2 linked regions of the Rhinolophus ferrumequinum genome follow. The main gene of each other region encodes a partner of the protein of the gene in region 2 in a complex. Links are inferred from orthologs where the notes say so. Each region holds a gene or a part of one and is shown on either strand. Other genes may lie near its edges.

Region 1 (10,843 bases), on a different chromosome or scaffold from region 2:
ACTTGAAAACACACCACTGGGTGAGGTCACTGGGGAGGAACCCTGGACAGGCAGAGCACAGAGGTCCAAGCACTCTGACGTCACAGGGTGAGGGAGGGGACGTGGGGGCCGCCCAGGAAGTAGAGAGCTGGGCTTGACTCACCACGGTGTCACCCCTTCTGCATTCCAGGTGTGCCTGCAGTATTGTGTTCTCCTGTGGGGGCGGAGAGGTGTCAGCGCACCTGTGCAGCTGGTCACAGCACACTGTTCTCATCCCTCAGGGGAGGGCACAGCGCCAGAGGGGCAGATACTCGCCCAAGGTCCCCGTCATCTTTGCTAAGTCCAGAGCGCACTGGGGACCCAGGCAGCTTTGTCCTCCAAGGGCCCTGGCCCCTCGCGTTTGCTTTCAACCAAGCCTTGGGGCCCAACAGGGGTTGGTCACTACCTGGGGGACAGAGAGCCTTCAGGACTCCCAAAAACCCTTCTCTGCATGGGTCCCACAGGGGTTGGCGGCCCCAGGCACCCCACCGGCCCACCCCTCCCTGGTCTGCCGTTTGTACCTCATAGTCAGGAGTCACATTGAGAAAGAGCTGGGTGCCCTCGATCCGAAATGCGAAGGGGGTGGATGAGGGTCCGAGGGTCACGCGCTGGCCCTCAGGGACATTGATGTCCACCAAGGGCCCACTAGGCTCCGTATTCTCCTGGACTTCAAAGAAGGTATTGTCCACAGAGCAAACTGGAAAGTAGAGAAGGGTCAGTGCCTTTCAACCCCTGCCTGCCGCCCGCCCCCCTCTCCCTCCGCGCGCCCCGGCCAAGCCCGCATGTACCCTGGGCCTGGGCTACGGCTGTGAGCAGCGGCAGCAGCAGGACCCAAGACCCCATCTTGGGGCCAGCGGGAGAGTCTAAGCCCGGCTGGCGACCGGGACCCTCTGAGTAGCCTGTGCTGGTGGCAGTCTCTGCCGGGACGACCTTTACCCCTGCCCGGCACCGCCCACTTTATGATCCTTTACGATTGGCCTCCACCTGGGGGGCTCCCGCGGGCCGAGCCCATGCCAGGCCTAGGAGGGGGAGGCCTTGTGGTTACCTGGCAGGAGCCGGGCCACATGCAGGTGCCAACGGGGGCTCAACCCACAGTCACGAAGACATGAGGTGGAAAGGAGCTCACAGAATGCTCAGGACACATGGGCCTGGGTGGGGTGGGGGGTGTGGGGGTGCCCGCGGGGGGCCGAAGAGAGGGGCTGAGCAAGAGCTGGGGGCAGGGGGCTAGGGACTCAGGGAATCTAGGATTGGGGGATTGAGGACAGGGAAGGGGCTGGCCTTTGGCTTCTGTCTGCTATGCTGTCCCCACCCCAGATGCCTCTGCTGGGTTCTTCCGCCAGAATGCTGTTGGGGCAAAGTCCTAGGCAGCCCCGTGGTTCGGACCTCAGGTTCCCCTCCAGTCCCGTCTCCTCTCCCACACTGACCATCTAAATCTGGAAGGAAAAGGCTGTATTCTGGGGACACACCTGCCTGTCCTGGAAATCAGCCAGCTCCCTCCTGGTGGGGCTGCGCAGGGGCACAGTGATGGAAATGGCAGCGCTTCAGGGGCACCTCGGGTCCCCGGGAGCTCTGGTGCCCGACAGCAGGCTGATTCTGGAGAGGCTCCCAGCGGCTAGGGAGAGGCCACTCGGTAAGTCCAGGAGGGAGGGAAGGGGCTGGGTGACAGTGGGGCGGCCCTTCTCCCCTTCAGATCCTTGCACCTGCTTCTTCTCCCTGTTCTCTCTGCTGGTGACAGCAATTCTGCCTGCCATGTGCCTAACCGGCCTCCTGCACCCCCAGCACTTCTTGGGGTGTCATTACTGTCCCTGCTCCACAGGCTCAGCATGGTTGAGCCGCTTGTCCAAGACCACAACCCTGGACAGAGAGCCCAGACGCCTGGCTTCCAGAGTGGACTCATAGCCTCCTGGTAACCCCCTACACACACAGCCCCACTGCCTGTCACCTCTTCCTGCCCAGCCTGAGCCTCGTCACCCCCCTTAAAATTCCCCCCACCTGCTCCACACACCTAGCACATGGCAGCTGGGGCAGGAACTGGGGAACGTCCTGAGCCGCCCCTCAGAGTCCCTGAATGTTTGCTGAGTGGATGACAAGGGGTGCGGGCGGGGCCCTGGGGAGTGCAGTCGATGGGACAGGAAGTGGCCCTGATGCCAGAGATAAGGAAAGGGGAAGGTGAGGCGCCCACTGTCTTCTCTGGTTTAAAGGGCAGCTGGGCGTGGCCCCTGCTGGGCTCCCGGGCAGGACCTCCTCCCCTGTGAGCTCTGCCCAGCAGGCTGTCTCCCAGCGCAGGCAGAGACGGTGCACACAGCGCGCTCGCCAGGCCAGGGTCTGAATTCCTTCTTTATTGGTGCCAAGTGCAACCCCCTCCTTCCCACCAACCCTGCCCCATCCAGGTTCGCGCCCCCGTCAGAAGAGGGGAGGTTCCTTCTTCCTCAGGACGTCATCTGGGTCTCAGCAGGGATGGCCGGCTCTGAAACCATGACCCCAGACTTGAGTCCAAGAGACAGCCGGGGAGACCAGGCCTGATTCAGGGGGTCCCTCAGGGCCATCATCCTGCAGAGACAGCTGGGTTAGGGGCTGTGGGCCTGAAGGTGGAGACCCCTGCCCACCTGGTGAACCGGCCTCCTTGGGTCACCAGCGCTAACTCTCCCCACCCCTGGCCCACTGCTGACACGGGGTGCCCCAGGGGACCAGAGGGACGGTCGGGGCGGAGCTCTGGTGAGGGGGGCGGGCTCACCAGGCCTGCAGGGCAGGAGAATGGGACCACAGCAGGCAGAGGGGGACCTCGGCAGGCTCGGTGGCAGACCCAGTCCAGGATGTGCTGTTCTCCGCGTCCTGCTCGCTGCCCCCCGCCCCAAATCAGAATTAGTCGTGGAATTGGGGGTGGAGACTGCTGCGTGAGGGACAGCCCCATGCGGGGCCTGCCCCTCAGGGGGGCCCCAGGCCCGACCTCACCTGCGCTTCCCGACCAGTCCCTGGAGCAGGCGCTGCAGCCGCGCGCTCTCCCGCAGACGGCTGAGCTCGCTCGTGAACGTCCCGTCCGAGTGTCGCGGGGCCCTGAGGAGGGGGTGACGGCGCCGCAGCGGATCAGGGCCAAGCAAGGGTGGGGCGGACGCAGGGCCGGTAGGCGGGCCCAAGGGGCTGTGTGGGCCCCGGGACCTTGGGCTCACCTGGGGGGCGCGGGGCGCCCGGCAGAGCCTTGGAGCAGCGGAGACAGCAGCAGCAGCAGTAGCAGGGCCCGGGGGGCCATGGTGGGCGCGCCGGGGTGTTAAGCGCTGCGGCCGCGGCCAGAGCTGCGCGCCACCCTTTATAGCGGCGCCCGGCGGGGGGCGGGGGGCGGGGGCGTCAGCACCGCCCTGGCTCCACGCAGCCCGGGCCGCTCCCCCATCGATCCGCGGGAAGGTCAGGGCCGCCCCCCCAGCTGTCAACCCGGCTGGTCGCCCGCCCCCAGCGCCGCGTCGGCGCCCCTCGGCGGGCTGGCGGGGCTCAGCCGGACGTGGACTTGCGGGCACGCGGGGGCCGGGGCGGGAGGAGGGACGTCCGGGCGGGGCGGTGGCGCGGATGCGCGGCGGGAACGTCTGTGCAGAGCCTGGGGCCGGGGGCCTCGGAGATGAGCTCAGGAGGGTCAAGGCTGGGACAGAGCGCGAGGCGACCCGAGGCCGCGGGCTCCTCTGGAGAGGCCCCGGCACACGGTGCGCGCGGCTGGGCAGGGGGCGGCGTCAGGGAAGGCCGAGCGCGGACCGGTGACCTCACTGCCACTCCCCGTGGGGGGGCGGCGCGGAGGGGAGCTGCAGGCAGGGCGCAGATCCGAGCCTGGGGGCCTCGCCATTTGTTTTTCGAGACGGGGGAGACCTGAGCCTGTTTCAGGGGCGGTAGGAGGTGGAGACGCGGAAAGGGGAGGAAAGGGGAGGCAGCTGGGTTCCTGCTGCGTAATCAATAAGGGATTAAGTAAAGCTAGGCTTCTTAAACTCCTGTGTGCATTAAATCCTTAAATAGAAATCACAAATCTAGTCAATGAAGTTATAAACTAGTTCTTGTGTTAAACTTTACGTGCATTTTAAATATAATTAGTAGACTTTTTTAGAGCAGTTTTAGGTTTACAGAAAAATTGAGCTGCAATAGTTCCCCCAGCACAAACACACCCAGCCTCCCCTCGTCCCAGCATCTTGCATTGGTGTTCTGCATTTGTTACAGTTGTTACAGTTGATGACCCGGTATTGATACATTGTTATTACCTAAGTCCATAATTGACATCAGGACTCACTGTTGGTGGTGTACATTCTGGGGGTTTGGACAGGATGTACAGTGACATGTACCCACAATCAATCTCACACAGATTAGTCCCACCGCCCTAAGAACCTCTGTGCTCCGTCTGTTCATCTCTCCTTCCTCCCCAACCTGTGACGACCACTGATCTTTACGGTCTCCATAGTTCTGCCTTTTCCAGAATGTCCTACCTCAGGAATCACACAGCATGTGGCTTTTTCAGGCTGGCTTCTTTCACTTAGTTTCCTCCATGTCCTCTCTGGCTTCAGAGCTCATTTCTCTTTAACACTGAATTCGATTCCATTGTCTGGATGTCCCACAGTTTATTCATCCATCACCTACTGAAGGACGTCCTGGTTGCTTCCAGATTTGGCAATTTGAGTAAGGCTGTTACAAACCTCTGTGTGCAGGTTTTAGTGGGGACGTGACTTTCAACTTATTTGGGTAAATACGAAGAAACACGATTGCTGGATCACATGATAAGAGTGTGTTTGGTTTTGTAAGAAACTGCCACCCTGTCCTCCAAAGTGGCTGCACCATCTGCACACACACCCCCCACCAGCCGTGGTGGGAATTCCTGTGGCCCCACGTCCTCCCAGCCAGCACTCAGTGTCACTGGGGCTCTGGGTTGTGGTCCGTCTGGTAGGTGTGCTGTGCTCCCTCGCTGATGATTCTTTGCATGTGTTTTTAAACAGATGGTGTGACTTGTTCTTGCACAAACTTGGCAAATTGAAATGTTCTAAACTTTAATACCATTGACTGATGAATTGCATTCATGAGAATGTTCCAAGCTCCAAATACTAATTTAATTGGTTGAATTTCTTAGCACCTCAAACACTTAAGTAACCAGGCAGATCTTCGTAAGAAAAATCTTCCCATTTAAAAAAGATTAACACGCAATAAAATGGGCTTTAAAAATTAACATACAGTAAAGTTAATATATAGTAAAATAATGAATTTTGACAGATGTACAGATCCGTGTAAACAGCACCATAATCGGGATACAGGACAACTCCATCACCGCAAACAACTCCCTCATGCTGCCCCTCTGTGGTCACATCACAGCCAGAGCGATGGGTCACACTGCATGTGGTCACAAGCAGTCACCAGCAAGAGGGAGAGACCAAGAGTGAGGCAAGTTCTGAGTGGAAGAAGCCAGGCAGGGCTGCAGCCAAGCAGAGATGGGCTGTGTCCTAGTGTTCCTGTCACAGAGGGTTCTGTAACTGCCTTCCTCTCATCCGAAAGCGCTGTCACCACTGTCCCCGCTGCTCAGATTCCTCCTGCGTCATCACAGAGCCACACTGAGGCTTCCTTATTAAGATGGTGGCCGTGCTGAAGTGTTGGGCAGATGGGGTGGTGTGCCAAGGGTTTTCCAGGGTGGGTTGTGACGCGCCACCACCGAGACAGCCATTTGCTCCGCACCCTGATGGACGACTGGCACCAGGAGAGAGGTGAGCTAAGGAGTGCAGTGCGCCCAAACCTTGCCTTCCCAGTTGGGACATTGCTTAGAGACAACATATGACACAAGCTACAATGACAGAATGCCACTTTCAACCCACAGACTTAACCAAGGGCCCCACGGGTTCCCAAGACGTCAACCTGAGCTGGGTCCTAACTTACGTGAATGGCTATTCAGAGCCTCAAATTGGGCATCATTCTGTGTATGTGTGGGGGGGGTGGGGGAGGGGGACTAATAACAGCCAATTTCAGGGTCCAGGATTCTAAGAAAGAATAAGAAGCTTCATATTTCCAGAATAGAATGTAGGAAGGAACACATTTTATGCACAGCTAAGAATTTAGTTCATCTTGATAGTTGATAGTTTCATTAGTTTAATTCTCTGAATAAGCAAAGCACAGAAAATATTCTCTAGTCCAATTTTTTTTTGGGGGGGGGGTTCACCAAGATTTAAATGTCAAATTGAGGTTACTCGAACCAACTCTAAGTTCTCCACTGGGGTGTGGAAGGAGGGCTTCCCACTGCTCGTTGCTGGCACATAGAACCCGACTGATCTCTGGGGGCTGACCTGTACCCTGAAACCTCACTAAACTGACTTACAGGTCCTACGAGCTTTCTGTAGCTGCCTTGGGGTTTTACGTAGACAGCCGTGTCCTCTGTGAATAAGGCCAGTTTCACTCCTTCCGATGCAATATGGACGTCTGTTATTTATGTTTTTCCTTACCTGATTTCCTAGCCTGATTGCACAGGCTAGAACAGTAGTCCCATGCCCAATAAACGTGTTGGGAGTGGACATACTTGTCTTGTGTTGATTTTAGGTGGATCACACACAGTCTCTCATTATTAATTGGGAGGTTTGCTGTAGGTGTTTTGCAGATGCCCTTTATCAGGTCTAGAAGCCTCCTGACTATCTCTTGCTTGAACACTTTTATCATACACAGTGTTGAATTTCGTCAGATGTTCTTCTGCACCAGTCAGTATGACCCTGCAGTTCTTCATCTTTAGGTGCTTGACTGGTATCCTGTGTTGACTTGAGACATTTCTCATTTTCGAATTTAATGGTATGAATTCTCCTCTGAGCTCTGCTTTAGCTCCATCCCACAACTTTAGACATGATGTGTTCTCATTTTCCTCAAAATATTTTCTAATTTCTCTTGAGATTTCACCTTTGACCCATGGATTATTTAGAATTGTGTTTTTTACTTTCCAAATTTTTGGACATTTTCCTGTTATTTTTTTGGTCTCCAGTTTTATATCTTTATGGCAAGAGAACTTAGTTTGTATGATTTCCATTCTTTACAAATGTGTTGCATTCCCTTTTCTGGGGCAGAATGCTCTCTCTCCTGGTGAATGGTTCACATCTATTGGAGGAGCTCTGCATTCCTCGGCTGTTGGATGGAGTGCTCTATAAATGCCAAACACACCTGCTTATTGATGGTTTGTTCAGACTCTTCTCTACCCTTGCTCATGCTCCATCTACTTGTTCTGTTGATTAAGAACAGATTCTTAAACTTTGAACAAGTCTTGTGCACCAAATGAAACGACATTCTCTTAAATGTTTCAAGCATCCCATAAAACTCTGCCGGAAATGTTGATAGAACCAGCTCTGACACCTGCCCAAACATCACCACCAGGGTGACGGTGGTCTCATAACTCTGATTTCTGTCTGTTCTGGAGGGTTACAGACATACTCACTGGCCCTGGGGGACAGAGTGGCCACTCAGGCCCTGCACAGCCTTAGCCGTCACACAGCCCACCTTTCACTGACCAGAGGTTCTGGGAGGATTAGGACATCCTTCTCCCAGGAGGAGCTGCCTCGGCTTCACCATCCTTTCTGAGCTGTAATTGTTGTTTGCAACCTGGGATCACACACATTCTAACTTTGCCCCTTTTGTGAAGTTTAATTTATTATTTATAGTTCTCTTTTTGATGTGCAGCTCTATGAGCTTGGAAAAATGTATTCGTCTTTGTAACTGCCAGTTCCCTCACCCCCAAATTCCCTCAAGCCCCTTGGTGTTCAGCCCTTGACTCCGAGCCCCTGTGGCCTCAATTCTAAGTGTATAGGCACCCTACAACAAATCATCAAAAATACATGAGGCAAAAACTGATACGGAGAAATAGAACTGGATGGAGAAGTAGAAAAACCTATAGTTATACTTGGAGATTTCAATATGCCTTTCTTTGTAACTAACAAGACAGACAGAAAATTAGCAAGAACACAGATCTGATCTGAGCAGCACCTCCCTGATCTAATTGATATTTAAAGAACTTTCCACGCAATAACAGCAGAATACACATTCTTTTTGAGTGTGCCTGGAACATTTATCAAAATAGACTATATTCTGCGTTATAAAATAAACCTTAATGAATGTAAAAGAACTGAGGTCCTACAAAGCATTTTTTCCTCACCATAACAGGATCAAACTAGAAATAAATAATAGAAAGATAACAGGAAAATCTCCAAACATTTGGAAAGTAAATAACATAGTTTTAAGTAATCCATGAGTCACAGCAGAAGTCTAAGGAAAGTAGGAATTATTTTAACCGGAACATAATTGTAAACACAAAAACGCGTGGGATGTGTCTTAGAGGGAAATTGGTAGCATTAAATGCTTATTATGTTAGAAAAGAAGAACTATCCCAAATGAGTGGCCTTAAGAAATTAGAAAAAGGGCAAATTAATTACAAAGCAAGCAGAAGGAAGGAAATAATAAAGAGTAGAAATTGATGAAACTGAAAACAAACACAAAAAATATAGAAAAAATCCATGAAAACAAAAGCTGTTTCTTTGAAAAGATCAGTCAAGTTAATAAACCTCTAGCAAGACTGACCAAGAAAAAAAGAAACATACAATGTTTCTTTTATAATATAAGGGATGAAAGGGGTGTTGTCATCAGCGACCTTACAGTAGGTATAAAAAAGATAATAAGGGAACTTTATAAATAACGCTAGGCCCATAAATTGGAAAACTAACATGAAATAGACCAAATTTTTGGCAGACAGACTACCACATTCGCTCAGAAGACACAGTCTGTTAAAGAGATAGATGTGTTAAAAAAAAAAAAAGTGACATCACCGTCAAAACCCACCTAACAAACTCCAGGCCCAGATGGCTTCACTGGCCAATTATTCCAACATTTAAGGAAAAGTTAATATCAATTTCATGAAATCTACTAAGGAAAATAGGAGAGAAGGGAGCACTTCCCATCTCGTTTGAGGAAGCCAGCATTATTCAGGTGCGCGAACCAGAGGGTCCCACAGAGCCATTCAGCTGGACCGACACTCAGGGCCCCTTTAATGATGGGGCTCCAGGCCGCCTGTCACGGCAATTTCAGGAAGTCCATAGAGACTTCTCGCTGTAACACATTTTCCCTGGATGCTCTTTCTGTGCACGTCTATGATCGGACAGAGGACAGTCGGGGCTGGGCTCTCAGCACAGCCATGGGTCTGCTCCCACACAGTCTTGTCTGCGTGGACCTGTGACCCTCCCTCCAGCCTCCCAGGCTCCCACAGTCCTGTATTGGCAGAGGGGGGTGATGGGCAGGTGAGTTTGTAGCTGTGATGGGTGCAGGGTGAGAGGTTTCTCACTGGGGGCTTTTCTTTCCTCTGTGAAGAAACAGGTGACCACGGCACTGCCGAACTCCCTGAGTCTTCTCCCGTGCCTTTGCTGGCGATAGTTCACCTGTGGCTGTGATGTAGGCACCATTTCCTAGGCCTGTAACCCCAGGCTGAGGGGCACACACTTGCTCAGGGTCACAGGCTCCGAGGTGATGGAGTGGGGTTGGCCACTCCGTTGTCAGCCTGGAGGGTGGAGGGTGAGGCAGTGATGGTGGGTGATTGAAGGTGGTCCCGCGAACCAGACGAGAGTCAGCTTCCTGGAATGGGATGCAGGGCCCTGGGTCCGGGTCTGCAATCATTGTGGGGAGACGAGCCAGGGTAGAAGAGAGGGTTGGGTCGGAGGGGTGTCCGAGGGAGGGTGAGTGTGGACCTTGTGCCTCACGCACCGCGGATCGCCAGGGGGAGGCGCCTGAGCGCCAGGGTCTTGCGGTTGGAGCCGGGGCTGCTCCAGTCTTCCCGCGCCTGGGGGAACCAGCCAGAGAAGAATGTTCTCCCGACGCCGCTTGAACGGAATGGAGTGAGAACCCGATCCGGCTCCGCCTTGAGGCGCCTCCAGAAGCGTCCCTGGGGAAGGGAGCCCAACTTGGGCGCAAGTAGGGACCCGGGGGTCTCCGCGGCCGCACGGGACGGCGCTGGCGTGGGTGCGCGCAAGCCTCGGAGTATGGTCCCGCCGACCTTTCATCTCGTGGGCTTCCCCTGGCGCAGACCCGCGCATGCCCCCAGCCCTGCGGTGGGCCCGCCCGTGCGAATCACGTCGCTTAATTCGCATCTCATTGAGCTGTTGCATTTGTCCATCCGCCCGTCTCCCGCGGCGCTAAATCCAACATGAGCACATACAGGGTGCATCCTAGGGCTCCCAGGGCCCACCGAGCCGGGGCGGACCCCGAGGCTCAAGGCCAGGCTGGGGCGGACCCGAGGGGCGGGGCTCCCGGATTCGCGACCTGGTCACTGTCCACAGTGCTGAGCTCCCTCTGGGGCGCTTGGAGCCCGAGAGCCATGGGGAACCTCAGCGCCGCGGACGTGCTGCTGGCGGGACGCGGGCCGGGCACCGGCGGCGGCACGGGGGAGCCGGCGGGACTGGAGGGGCCTGGGGCAGCAGCGGCGCTCGTGGGGGGCGTACTGCTCATCGGGGCTGTGCTCGCGGGGAACACGCTCGTGTGCGTGAGCGTGGCGGCCGAGCGCGCCCTGCAGACGCCCACCAACTACTTCATCGTGAGCCTAGCGGCCGCGGATCTCCTACTAGCTCTGCTCGTGCTGCCGCTCTTCGTCTACTCTGAGGTGAGTGCATCCATGACCACTTGGTGCACTCTCACCTGCTCCTTTGTCCCCTGTCCCGGTCCACGCGAGGACTCAGAGTGACCAGGCCGCTTGCCTTCTCTGGAGTTTCAAGCTGGGGCGGTTGCAGGGGCGCTGCACCTGGTAGCAGGACGACCGGAGGCTCTGAACCTACCCCTCCCCCATCTCTGTCCATCTGCCAGTCTTGCTGTC
Region 2 (12,461 bases):
GATTTTCTTTACTCTCTTTTGTTTGATCTGTGTTAACCATAATATTTAATAGAAATATTCAAAGGATGATGACAAACGGAGGAAGGAAATAAGAAAAGTAAAGGAAAAACTGCTTTAGAGAAAGCCAGCCCACGTTTCCAGAGTGTAAACAGTGAACCTGGACCATAAAAACTTCATTTAAATGTCAGTGTTATACCTTTGTACTTCAGTACTGAATAGGAAATCATGCTTGCCCCATTATTTATGGCTCATCAATAATACATTAGCTTGGTTCCCAGAAAAGCTCACATTCAGGAAAGGACAGAGCCTTTTGTTTGGTTTATTGAGCAGCTGAAGGGGCAGAGCAAGTTCATTTCATTGGTGGAGTCATTTGGTGAAGGCCTGAGACCCAGACACCCAGTGATAGCCAACTCCTCTCCTCCCCAATGCTCTCCTCTCCTCCCTCTCCAAACCAACCCCTTCAGCTCAAATATTACTTTCCTGGGAAGCCTTCCTTACGTGTATGTCAGTGCTCTTTCTGTTACAGGGGCAGAAATGGATTCAAAAGTGAAAAAAAAGTTTAAAACTTATCGTCTGTATGTCTATCTATCATCTATGGTGAGAGGCTTCAGTCACAGCTACATCTAGGTGACAGATGATGGTGTCAAGATTTTGTCTCTGCTCAGACAATAGTTTAGTGGTTACCAGAGGGTAAGGGGGGAGGAGGGGTGCTAGATGAGGATAAAGGGGCTCAACTATATGGTGATGGAAGGAGCACTGACTCTGGGTGGTGAACACACAATGTGATAGATAGGTGATGTAATACAGAATTGTACACTTGAACCCTATGTAATTTTACTAACCATTGTCACCCCAATAAATTTTAATTAAAAAAAAAGATTTTATCTCTGTTTCTTGGTTCTCTTCACTCCATGTTGGCTTCATTCTCAGACAGGATTTCTCAGTGCTATGGAAAGGCTGCCATGTTGCACCTAACTTGCGCATAGTGCCAACACATTGTTTCGTTGGTGCCATTCCTATTGGCCCAGCTTGAGTCATGTGCCCATCCCTGAACCAATCATGGTGATTATTGGTAGGGATGACTCTCCTCACCCAGGTCTGTGTCATGTGCTCACTCCTGGGCTGCTGTTGGTGAAAGCCCCACCCAAGCCATGTGGTCTGAGATTGGGGAAAGGCAAGGGGTACTTGTATCAGAAGAAGAGGGAATAAAGTCTGGCCTGACACAACCAACAAACGTTTATTAGGTTGAACCTTAAAAAAATGTCAATATTCAAATGTATGTTACCTAGAAAAATGGTGACTAATATGACTCAACCTAATACCCACCAGGTTTGGTCTGGCCCCTTGGTATATGCTCCCATAGCATTTATCAGGTTGCAATGTCATCCACCATACGTTCTGAAGTTGCTTACTCCAGCCAACCAATAGATTTGTTAAATATGTTGTTGTGAAAGCCTCTGAAGTCTTGTCTATCAGCCTCAGTCATCTTTCTGGGCCTCCTGGGAAGGGGTGCAATCTAGCCCCTTGGGTTTCAAGAATGGGGCTGAGGTTACCGAGGGCAATTTCCCCAGGCCCCTATCATTCTGGTTCACAGCACCTGGATTAGGTAGGTCCTCCATAAATATTCATTGAATGAATGTGCTTAATTAGTTTTCCAAGTGTTTATTGCTTTTGGAAAAATGCAAAAAAAAAAAAAAAATGACACGATTTCTTGGCGGAAAAGTAATTAAAAATAAAATGTACTGCCAACCAGATGAATCCTCTCCACAAAATGAAGGAACGAATGAATCAGTGTTATTATTGAATAAGCATTAAAGGAGACGATGATGCCCGTCACCAGCAAACCACAAGAGAGGTTGCAAAGACAAATAGAAATCGTAGCCTTTTACATAGCCAGGCAGATACAATCCATCATACACACATGCTAATTGCCTTTATTCAAAGGAAAAATAGAACTTCTCGTATCTTTTCCACAAGTGGGAAATTACAACGTGGAGCCAGGCACCTGGGCTAAACTCCCATAGTGACCGGGAGGCAGAGCACCATTTTCCTTGATGTTCACATTTCAAAGAGATGACTCCAAGGTCTTCATTCCTGGGATGCAAAATGGCAAGAGCCTTAATTAGCTTTTTAAAAGATTTACCTGCATCTCAAAGAGAAAGGGAAAAGATTTACAATGAGAAGTTTTTTAAAGAAAATGCAAAAAGAAAAGGAAGAAGAAAAAAGATCTCTTTCCTTTTTGGCACAGGGAAATGTTTAAATTTAATTTTTGAGGGGATTTGCAGGGGAAGAAAAATCCTTTTCCTTCTACCGTTCTACGTTCACTAGAAGGACGGTGGATGTTGGAAGGTGGAGGGTGTGTGTTGGAAATCCTTTCTCACAAAGAGAAAGAGACAGCTGAGGAACCTCTCAGATGCTTCAGCCCCAGACAGTTGAGTGAGCACATCTTGAGGTAACTCTGGTCTCAGCTGCCGTCTGACTGCAGCCATGTGAAAGACCCCAAGTGAGAACTGCCTGGCTGAGCCCAGTCAATCCCCAAAACTGTGAAATGACAATAAATAATTGCTGGTTTTCCATTGCTAGATTTGGGGGTAATGGGTATAAGAGTGATGGAAACAGCTCACCTGAGTTTCAGTACCAGCAATCCTACCGCCTAGCTGTATGACCTTGATTTAAAGCCTCATCAAGTCAGTTTCTACACCTGTTAAATGGCTTTAAAGATATTTCCACGTGGGATTATTCTTCTTTTGCCTCATTCTTCACAAATTAATTTTCTACCTTCTCCACCCAGGAGATTAAACTCTATGGACATTTCCTCCCCGCAGCCCTCATTTGTCTGCCTGTCTCTGGCTTTGGGTTGAGTTCAGCCAATGGAAGACGTTGCCAGGAGATCAGTGGACAGGAGACGAGAGAGGGCAGAGTATTTATCACAGTTTTGACAGTGGCTGCATTCCTCTATGGTTAAGTTCCTACGAGTGGCTTCTCTTTCAAGGATAGCTCTTGCCAGCTTCTGGGATCATTGTTTTCTGTCCTTACCCCTTGTTAAAGACAAAATTACTCTGACACTTGTTAAAAAACGATGAGGAAGACTTTATTCAAGACTGTTGCAATAGGGGAGAAAGAGATCAGACTCCACTTGGAATATGACAGGGACAAGTGGGGATTTATAGCCAAGGAGCAGGGTGAAGGGTGAGTGGATGGAAGATTGCAAAGAGGAGAGATGGAGGATTTGGAAAACCAACAGGATTTGGGGAGGGATGAGGAACTTGATCAGATATCAAGGGTGATAAGATCAGGAGTGGAGGCATTCTCCCAAAACTGATGGCAGAATCCTTGCCGGGACTGGGAGAGGCAGCCCAAAGACAGTCAGGGTCACAGTGGAGGCCTAATCAAGAAGAGAACTCCGAGGAGACTGACTGAAGTTTGCTCAGGGGAGACTCTGTCAGCCTTCCGGCCCATTGTTGCTAATCCCTACTGCCTCACCATCCCTTGTTGGTTCCCTTAACCCTGCCCACACTTCTGCACACAGTCCTTTCGTTAATCTGTCTTCAATTAAATCACACGGGCAACAGTTCCTCCCTCTCCTGCCAGCCCCTGACTGCTGGTCCTACCGACCCCATAGGCGGGTTTTGCGGATCAGATGAGATGATGTGTGCCAAAGAAGTGCGGAAGCCCCAGGTTTAGGAAGTCATCTTCACGGATGAGAGGAATCCTAGTACAGTGCAGAGGGCATGGGCATTGGGTTCAGTCCTGATTTCAAATTCTGCCCCTGCCCCTTCTTGGCTGTGTTGTTGGAGGGCAGTTCTTATCTTCTCCAAGCCTCAAGCTCCCAACCTATTAGTCAAGGAAAGTAATTCTCTCTCATGTAGTCTTGGAGGATCTAACAACACACTGCAAATTCCTACAAGACTCCTTCACACATGGCAGGTATTATATAATGTTGTTTGGTCCCTATCTTTTCCTCCCACCTCTGTTATAAAATTGTTTTCTCAAGTGGGGTTTACAAAGCCACTAACAGCACACATGGCTTGTAAAAGGGCTTCTCACAGAGTACTTCAGCCCCTTTTCTCAAATGCCTCCCATTTGAGGAAGAACGAATGGTTTGCCACAGGCCAGAAATTTATTGAATTGCCCAGAACAAATGTTGTTTTGCTTTTTCAGTGGATATCATGAGGTTCTGGTAGAGAACAGAGATTGCATTTTTATATTGTTTTCTTTTTATTTCTTTCCATCAAAAAAATAATATACAGTAGTTACAGAAAATATTCAAGCAACAGGAAATCTATACAGTAAAAATTGCAAGTCCTTAACTCAAAGACTTTCTGATGCACATTTAGGGGGTTGGAGTTTAATTGGGGACCAGCAAGTAACATTTTTCTTTCCAGTCTAAATCTTGAACCAATTGAGAAATAAGATTAAAACAGACATTTAAAAAATGTCACTTTTTTAAAAAAAATTTTATTGGGGAATACTGGGGAACAGTATGTTTTTCCAGTATCCATCAGCTCCAAGTCAAGTCGTTGATTTCAATCTAGTTGTGTTGGGCACAGCTCAGTGGTCCATGTGGGAATCGAACCGGCAACCTTGGTGTTATGAGCACTGCGCTCTCACCAACTGAGCCAACCGGCCGCCCCAATGTCCCTTTTATTAGTGATAATATTGGTCGTGGAGAATGTGGTTTATACTTGTGGGAAAGTGAGTTTTCTAATAGTGAACCTCAGAATTAGATAGGCCACCACCCTGTCACTGGTGATACTGGGTCAATACAGGCAGAGCCTTGACCACCAACGACAGCCTGGCCCAGGGCAACTCAGTCTCAGGCTCTCTGCAGGTGGGGGTGCTGGGAAAGGAGGGGGAGAGTTGGGGGGCAGAATCTCATGCCCGTCCTTATCCCAAATACATTAATCATGTAGAGCTCAGCACACGTGTGTGTTGCGGGGAGGGACATGGCTGAGGTGGGTAGAGAGAAGCCAGAAGTAGTATACTCATGGTTACTTTACACAAAAAGGTAACATCAAGCGTGGGGCTAAGTGTTCCCCTTCCATTACATTATCTCCCGTTTTCTGCTGCAACGAAGGTGCTTCCACAGACATCCTTGCGCATCTTTCATCGGGTCGTTGGGTAAGTATTTCTATTGCGAAAGTTCCTAAAAGTGAGTTGGTGGTTATGTAAACTTCAGATTGACATGTACTGAATATTGACTGCTGACCTGAGAGCAGAAAGCATTTCCCCCCCTTTTATTTCTGCGGTGATTTATGAATCTCACCTCGCCTCTTCAGGTAGGAAGGCTGCTGAGGACTACAGCATCTTACTTTAACAGCCGCTTAGCAATCTGACCAGAGGTCATTCACAGAGACTCAGAGCCAGCCGTGCAGTGCAGAGCCCGGCTCTCCCGTCTGACACGCTGAGTTGCGTGTGCCTGGATGGCTGATTGATCTTCCTCTACCCTCAAGGATCTCTTCTGTCAAACCAGTATATCACCTTCAGATTTTGGGGGAGTTTAATGAGCTGATGTATTTAAAATGCCTGGGGAAAGGTCAAGATAGAAGGAGAGGCAAGTGGAAAGGGAGTGGGCACCAGTGCAGAGGAAGAAAATAGTGAGTGTACAAAAGCCGTTTGAGGGTACCTTGTACCGAAAGGCCAAATGCCATCCTCCAGGAAATCTAAGCAGTCAGACTCAGCTTGAGCAGGCTACTGGGAATATCTGCCTAATGTTTAAACAGCCTCCAGCGAGGCCAGGAAGCATGAACCCTAAGGGCGAGTCAGCCCCGGGTGGACCAGATGGTCCTCCTTGGGCCACCTGATGGTGAAAGGCTTCCCGGGTGATGGTGCTCATGGAAGTGAAACTTTCCAGAATGAGCCAGCATAACTTTAATAGTGAAGAAAAATAAAGTGAAAACGAAATAAAGTGCAAGGTAACTGGCCCGCAGAATAGATGCAACAGGCATTGATAGAGCACCCGCTGTCACAGGGCACTACTAGCGCAATCTTCTTTCATCCCGAAGGCGGGTATTAGATGTATGTGAGGGATGAGAACACTGAGGTGCAAAAAGGTGACATGGGCTGTCCATCCGCGCGCAGCAAGGTTGTGACGGGGCTGAGTGCGCTTTCTGGACTTGGGGGTGTTGCAGCGTCGAAGGCTAAGCCAGCGTGCCCTCTCCTGGTCTCCTCGGCTCCCGGGCCCAGGCTGCGGGAGCCGGATCCAGGCCCCCGCGCCCTCCCTCCGCCTCCTCCCCTGCCAGCCTGCCCGCCAGTCCCCAGCCAGTCAGTCAGGCTGGGCGGAGGAGCGCAGGCAGCGCCGCGTCCTTATCAATGGGCCGGGCGGCATAGCGTGCGGCCACCTTTTCCGAGGAGGCGCAGTCCCGGGGTAGCCGCGGGTCGCCTGGCCCAATTATGGCTCCTCCCGGCGCGGCGGCGGGCCGGCATCTGGGACCCTGCGGGGGGCGCTGAGCTCCAGAGCCCGCGGTGAGCACGAGTGGGCGGCCGTCGGGGCTGCCGCCGGGAGCGCGCCGGGCACCATGCGCCCCTGCCTGCAGCCGCGGTCGCTGCGGCTGCTGCTGTTGCTGCTCGCCGGCGCGGCGCACACCGTGAGTACCGCGCCCCTCCGCGGGCAGAGGGACCCCTCCGGGTTCACACGGATTGGAGTGGCGGGGGACCCCCAGATCTTCCACTGAGGTGTGGGGATCCTTACCCCCTGTCCCCCGCTCCAATAATCTCTATCAGCTTCTCTCCAGAGGGCCTCCTGCCCTCAAAATAAATACGTGTGCGCCAGGCAAGGCAGCTCTGAGATGAATCCCCTGGCTTCCATCCCACCCCTTCCTCCAGGCTGCGACTGTAAGGCCCTCCTAGACGGAAATTCTCCAGCCGTCCTCGGCGGTGCCTACTGTGTGCTGGGCACTTTGCCTCCATTAATTCATTGAAACTTCATAATCTCTTTATAAGGTTGATGTTATCACCCTCACTTTACAGACAAGGAAACCGAGACTCAGAAAGACCAAAAATCTTGCCCCCCAAAAAGACAATTGGAACCCACATCCCTCTGCCCCAACGCCTTGACATTCACACACAGGGCCTGCAGGTGGGAAAACCTCAGAAAGCTCAGCCCGGAGCTTCCGGGGCGTGTGATGGGACCGTTTGCAGCTCCCTCCCCCTCCTCTTCTGTGGAATTTGGCTCCATAATGTCTGCATGCCCAGGAACTCCTGAGAGCCTCTGGTCTCCACAAACCAGCTCCAGGGAGAAGCTGGAAGAGAAAAGAGAAGGCGGTGGAGTCGATGGCCATGGCTTGTTTTTCTTTCCCACAAAAACTCCTGGGAATCTGCAGGCCTCTCCCTGTGGGATTTGTGAAGTGGCTGCACCCAGATGGGCTGGATGGAAGGAATGGGGATGGAGTGGGGGATGGAGAGTGGGTAGGTGTAGATTCCAGAACTACTCCTTTCTACCAACATTCCAAACTGGCTCCCTGAGTCTGTCCCAAAAAATTCCCCAGGGAAAGCTCTTGGGAACCCAATTTTGAGTCTCCAGTCTCTGTCCTGAACAAGTCCTTCCTGGTGTCCAGTGACCTTGCCCCCTGTAGTCCTCTTTTGCTTGATCCTAAGAAAAACCTCAGCTCCCGGAGCTGATGGGAGTGTTGGCACTCAGGAGGTGCCCATCTTTCTGGCAAGTCCATAACATTCCAGCAGCAGTAGTTTGGAAGAGTGGAATTTGGGGCTGTTGTTCCCAAATTCCCTTGTAACCTTGGAGCATCTTCTCCACAGTGCTGGTGAAGAAAGGTGCTAGAACAAAAGCACCCCCTCATTAGTCTGAACTCCTAATTTGGGGAAAAGCCACCGAGGCATTAGGGAAAAATCAAAACCAAATACAGCTTAGAGGTGTATTGTTATTCAGTGCCCAGGAATGGGAGAGGGGATAGTTCCTTCTTTGAGACCCTCCAGACTCCTTAAGTATTTGTAGTAACCCTGAGGTTGTCCAGAGAAATTAACAGGCAGTGGACTTCAGGACTGAGGCTCAGCCTGTATTTTAATCTCCCCCATGTTACCTCAGGAAGGAGCAGAGGGGAAAATAAGAAACTTTGCTTGGTTCAAGTCTTCGGTGTGTCTCAGGAGGTTGCTTTGTTATATGCTCTGGTCCGATTCCCTCATTTTACAGACGAGCAAACTGAGACCACAGGGAGACGGGACCTGCCCCATATGTGCAGGTTAGTGGTAGAGCTGGGATTAGAACCCAGATCTCTTGATTCCCAATGACCCAGAGCTCTGTTAATTACACCTGTTTTCTTTCTTTGCATGTCACTTTCATATACTCATGTACTGCCTTGTATTGTTGCAAGATAGTTTTCTGTGCATAAGGCTTGGTCCTCTGATTATTTTATGGGCTTAACCAGACTTGAGGTCTCATTTCTTGGCAGAGAACTCCTTTAATAAATAGGAGTGGAACTGACCTAATATGATTGGTGTTATTTCCCAGCCTATGAAACCCTGTTTTCCTTCTGTGTGACTGAGTGGTCAGACATTTGATTTTGAAATTTAAGGGTATTCAAACAACTGTTTATTCATTTGGGGCTCTCTTGAGGAAGATCACAGGCTTCTTCCTAATGAGGAGTCATTAAGGCCAAATTCTTCGTTACTACCCCCCACCCTCACTGCCTTTCCATACAAGGAGATGCCAGTGGGTACCTTGCAATTGGAAGCTAAAAAGTGATGATGGCTGATAGGGGCAGTCTTCTCAGATTGCCATAGGAAACCCTGATCACACCTCCCCTTGCTGCCCCATGCCCATGTATTGCATAAGCACTTTTACCAGGAAGAATATTGCGGTTATTCACCAGTACACCTGTCCTCCCCTCCTCCCCAGTACACACACTTCAAGCTTGGGCATTGAGACTTAGTCGCCTTCATCCTTAATCCCGGGAGCCCGTCACAGTATAAGAGGGAACGCATTGAGTATGTAGTGGTTGAATGAATGAATGAATGAATGAATGAGTGAAATGATGATGATATCCATAGCGACCGTCTTAAGCTGTGGCAATTTCATATAGCAACAAGTAGGGAAGCATGACATCTTGAAAGTAATAATTGCTTCAAAAATTGTGCATAAGTGTGTCAAGCAAAGGAAAATTAGTCATTCAAGGTAGGGCTTTTTAATCCAGGGCATCTGGCAAACTGCCAACTTGATAATCTTAGTGAGTTCAGTGGGATGTGTGGGGCTGCTTTCTCCTTCAATCGCTGCTTCTTAACTTTGACACTATAATCCTGGATATTACATCTGGGCTTTCAACAAGCGGTGCCAAGAAGAGAGCTATGCCCTCGCTTGGCATGGGAAGAAGTAATGGGGTGGGGATGATAGGGACAGAGTGCAGAGAGTGGAGATGGATAATTCTTTGTTGTATGTCCTGTGCATTGTATGATATCCAGTGGCATCCCTGGCCTCTACCCACTAGAAGCATCTCTCTAAGTCGTGACAACAGAAATGTCTTCGGACACTGTCAAATGTCCTCTGGGAAGCAAGGAGGGCAAAACTGCCCCTGGTTGAGAACCACTGCCTTAAGGTTGTCATGTTTCAGGGGAGATGCATTAACAGGGCTAATGATAGGTGTTAATTGCCTGCTGGATGCGGGGCAGTGGGGTTGGTGGCAGGGAATCTGAGTCGGAGGATGAAAGCAAGTGTACATGATGAAACATTTTCAAGCCACATAAAAAGACTTCTGTGGGGAATAACTTCCTTGATCTTTTTCACCCTCCCTCCTCACTTTACCCCTCCTTTCTCCATCCCTCCCCAGTTGACGGCTCAGAAACATAAGAACTCCAAGTATGGGGTCTGGTACACTGAAGCCTCCGGCACATGGTGGTCCCTGCCCCTTCCGGTGGTGCATCTGGATTCAGAGGCTGACAGGCTCTTTGGTGGCTCTGTGAGCAGAATTTTAGGAAGGCCTGCAAAATGTCATGTGAGGAGCTGGCTATTGATAATTCTTCAGAGGAGGGTCACTGGGATTTTTTTTATACCTGAAAAATCACTTTCTAATTTTCTGAGGAAGTACTTGTGGCTTTATCTTGAAAATTTTACCATCCCTAAAATTAATGGAAATGATGATTTTAAAGTTTCCCCTTATTGAGCACCTTCACACCAGAAAGTCTGCTAAGCCCTTCCCAGCACTGATTTAATTCTCACATCAACAATCAGTAGCCCTCATTGTGCAAATGAGGACACAGAAGCCATTTGCTCGGATCACCCAGGAGGACATGGTGGCATGATGATCCTAACCAAGGTCTTCTTAACCAGCACATGCATCTTTCCCATCGTGAGGCCTACTCTGGTTTCTGGTCCCCAAAGGGCTGTCATAAAATTCTCTCCCAAATCTCAAAATAACATTACTTTCAGTTTAACCTAATTGCTTTGTAAAACACAAAACAAATCTGATTGTTTATAAAACAACCACTGTAGTTTATTGATAAGCTTGGAGTCACAGAATCAAACAAACAGGAAGTACACTTCCCAGACTGTTTAAGGGAGTCCTTCCTCTTGGCTTTGGTGTTACCTTTTTGGTGTTCTCATTGAGCGTCCCTCTCTCCACCCGGTCCCCATTCTCCCCATCCCGTCGTTACTTCCCACGCTAAGGGAAGACATCGCTCTCTTCCGGGTGCTCCTGTTGAAAGCCCAGATTTAATATCCAGGGTTAGAGCTCCACCACTAGAGTGGCCCCATCCAGTGGCCCCTGATTTGGTCCCTGCTTCCTTGCCCTTAGCAAACAGGTTTCTCACCACTGACCTTCACTCAGGCTCTGGGATAACCTGCAACCCAAGGTAAAACCCACAACACCCAGATCCTATCAACTTGCTTACATTACAAACAGAGGGCTGTTCAGTGTACTTGTGGACAAGTGAGAATGTCCTGGGACCCACCCAGCCTCACCATTCTGTGTCTGACAGATTCCAAGGGGCATGTAGGGAAGAGACGTCCCTGGTTGATCGTCTCCTTGGTCTCAGCCCATCGTACTGCCAGGATTCCTGAGTTTTCCAGAGTCTTCTCCAGAATCCCTACATGTCCAACATCCGTTTTCTCACCCCTGACTCTCAGAGGCTCTCCCTGACGTGCACACGTCTTTTCAAATTCCTCACCTTACCACCTCCCCTTCATTTTCACCACGCGGGTTTGCCTCTCACTTCCTGAGAGTCAACACTACATGGATGAATTTCTTCTCACCAACATCTTATAGGTGTGTCTAAATGATGCCCTCTTGTTCTCTTCCTTCCTGTCTGCTCAGTTGTCTTGGGTTGCCATAACAAAACACCGCAGACTGAAACAACATCTATTTTCTCCCATTTCTGGAGAATAGAAGTCCAAGATTAAGGGCCAGCAGCGTTGGGTCCTAGTGAGAGCCCTCTTCCTGGCTTGCAGAGGCTGGTTGGTCCTCATGTGGCCTTTCCTCCGAACAGGTGCAGACAGAGAGGGAGTTCTCTGGTGTCTCTTCTTATAAGGATACTAATCCTATCAAATCAGGGCCCCACCCTTATGATCTCATTGAATCTTAAGTTAAATTACCACCTTACAGGCCCCTCTCCAAATACAGCTATTCTGGGGTTAGGGATTCAACATACAAGTTTTGGGAGACAGAAATATTCAGTCCATAATACCATCCAAGTAAAACAGAGGCTGTACTCCTACCTGAGGCCAGTCTCTATACCAGAGCTGCTCCAGCCACCACCATCCTTAATGACCTCTGAGATAACACAATGCAGCCTCTGTGCCCAACCTTCACCATATTTCTTTGGACTGGCTTTTTCCATCAGCTGATCAACTTGCCTAAGTCTGTCCAACCCAGGCGGTAAAGAGCTCTGGGCCCTTCTAGCCAGTTCTACCTCTGCCCCCTGATGGCCAGCTTCTTGGAAGAAGCATCCATGATCATCGCCCCCACGTCCGCTCATTTCTCAGCCCACTGCAACCTGGCTCCTTCCACACTGCCCATTGAAATCAGTCTCAGCAGTGGCCTTCATTTTGCCACATTCACTGCACACACTTCTGTCGTGGTCCTGCCTAGGGTGACCACGTGATTTATGAGAGAGATGAGACATTATGAATAATGACATTGAGACAGCAGGCATACACTCTGTCCGTCCTGGGCAAAGTGGGGCATGGGACCAGGCCTGTCGGAGATGTTCAATGCCAGGACACTCCCTTCTTTCTTCTCTCCCTTCCCTGGGCTTCTTTTTGTAGTCTCCTGGTTTCCATCCTGTGCCTCGTGCTGTTCCTCCTGGAGCTCCGTCTTCTGAGCCTGTAGGGATCACTCCCTAGGCTCTTCCTCTTTGGTCCTTCCTCTCCTCTGCTCTCTCTTACCATGTGTTCTCTCTTGGTAGTCCTACTTGTTATAAATTCAAGCTTCCCTAACCAAAACTCCCAAGCCTGTGTCTCTTTTCCTTGTTTTTCTTGTTCTTTAAACTATCAAGGCACCCAAACCGGACTCCTGGGA

Evidence for each region.
Region 1: the proteins of SCTR (region 2) and SCT are in contact, whole or in part, in a cryo-EM structure (PDB 6WZG), measured with the Homo sapiens proteins. The link is inferred for Rhinolophus ferrumequinum from reciprocal best matches to the Homo sapiens genes SCTR and SCT. Residues at the interface, in NP_002971.2 of Homo sapiens: Arg30, Leu31, Cys32, Leu35, Asp71, Asn72, Pro117, Val125, Val127, Asn128, Asp129, Asn132, Arg135, His136, Leu139, Leu140, Leu142, Lys143, Tyr146, Tyr150, Arg188, Asn192, Lys195, Leu199, Phe200, Ser202, Asp203, Val205, Met219, Phe222; in NP_068739.1 of Homo sapiens: His28, Ser29, Asp30, Gly31, Thr32, Phe33, Thr34, Ser35, Glu36, Leu37, Ser38, Arg39, Leu40, Arg41, Glu42, Arg45, Leu46, Gln47, Arg48, Leu49, Leu50, Leu53, Val54.

The regions. Positions count from the first base shown.
Region 1 is NC_046294.1:370,702-381,544, forward strand, and holds SCT (secretin), read right to left. Parts: upstream 3,343-10,843; 5' UTR 3,266-3,342; coding exon 3,186-3,265; intron 3,073-3,185; coding exon 2,971-3,072; intron 2,858-2,970; coding exon 2,753-2,857; intron 2,569-2,752; coding exon 2,448-2,568; 3' UTR 2,362-2,447; downstream 1-2,361. Other genes in the region: CDHR5 (cadherin-related family member 5), read right to left, coding at 143-193, 540-715, 807-861; DRD4 (D(4) dopamine receptor), read left to right, coding at 10,181-10,633. UniProt on the Homo sapiens protein: Hormone involved in different processes, such as regulation of the pH of the duodenal content, food intake and water homeostasis.
Region 2 is NC_046291.1:90,567,383-90,579,843, reverse strand, and holds the start of SCTR (secretin receptor), read left to right. Parts: upstream 1-6,289; 5' UTR 6,290-6,518; coding exon 6,519-6,587; intron 6,588-12,461.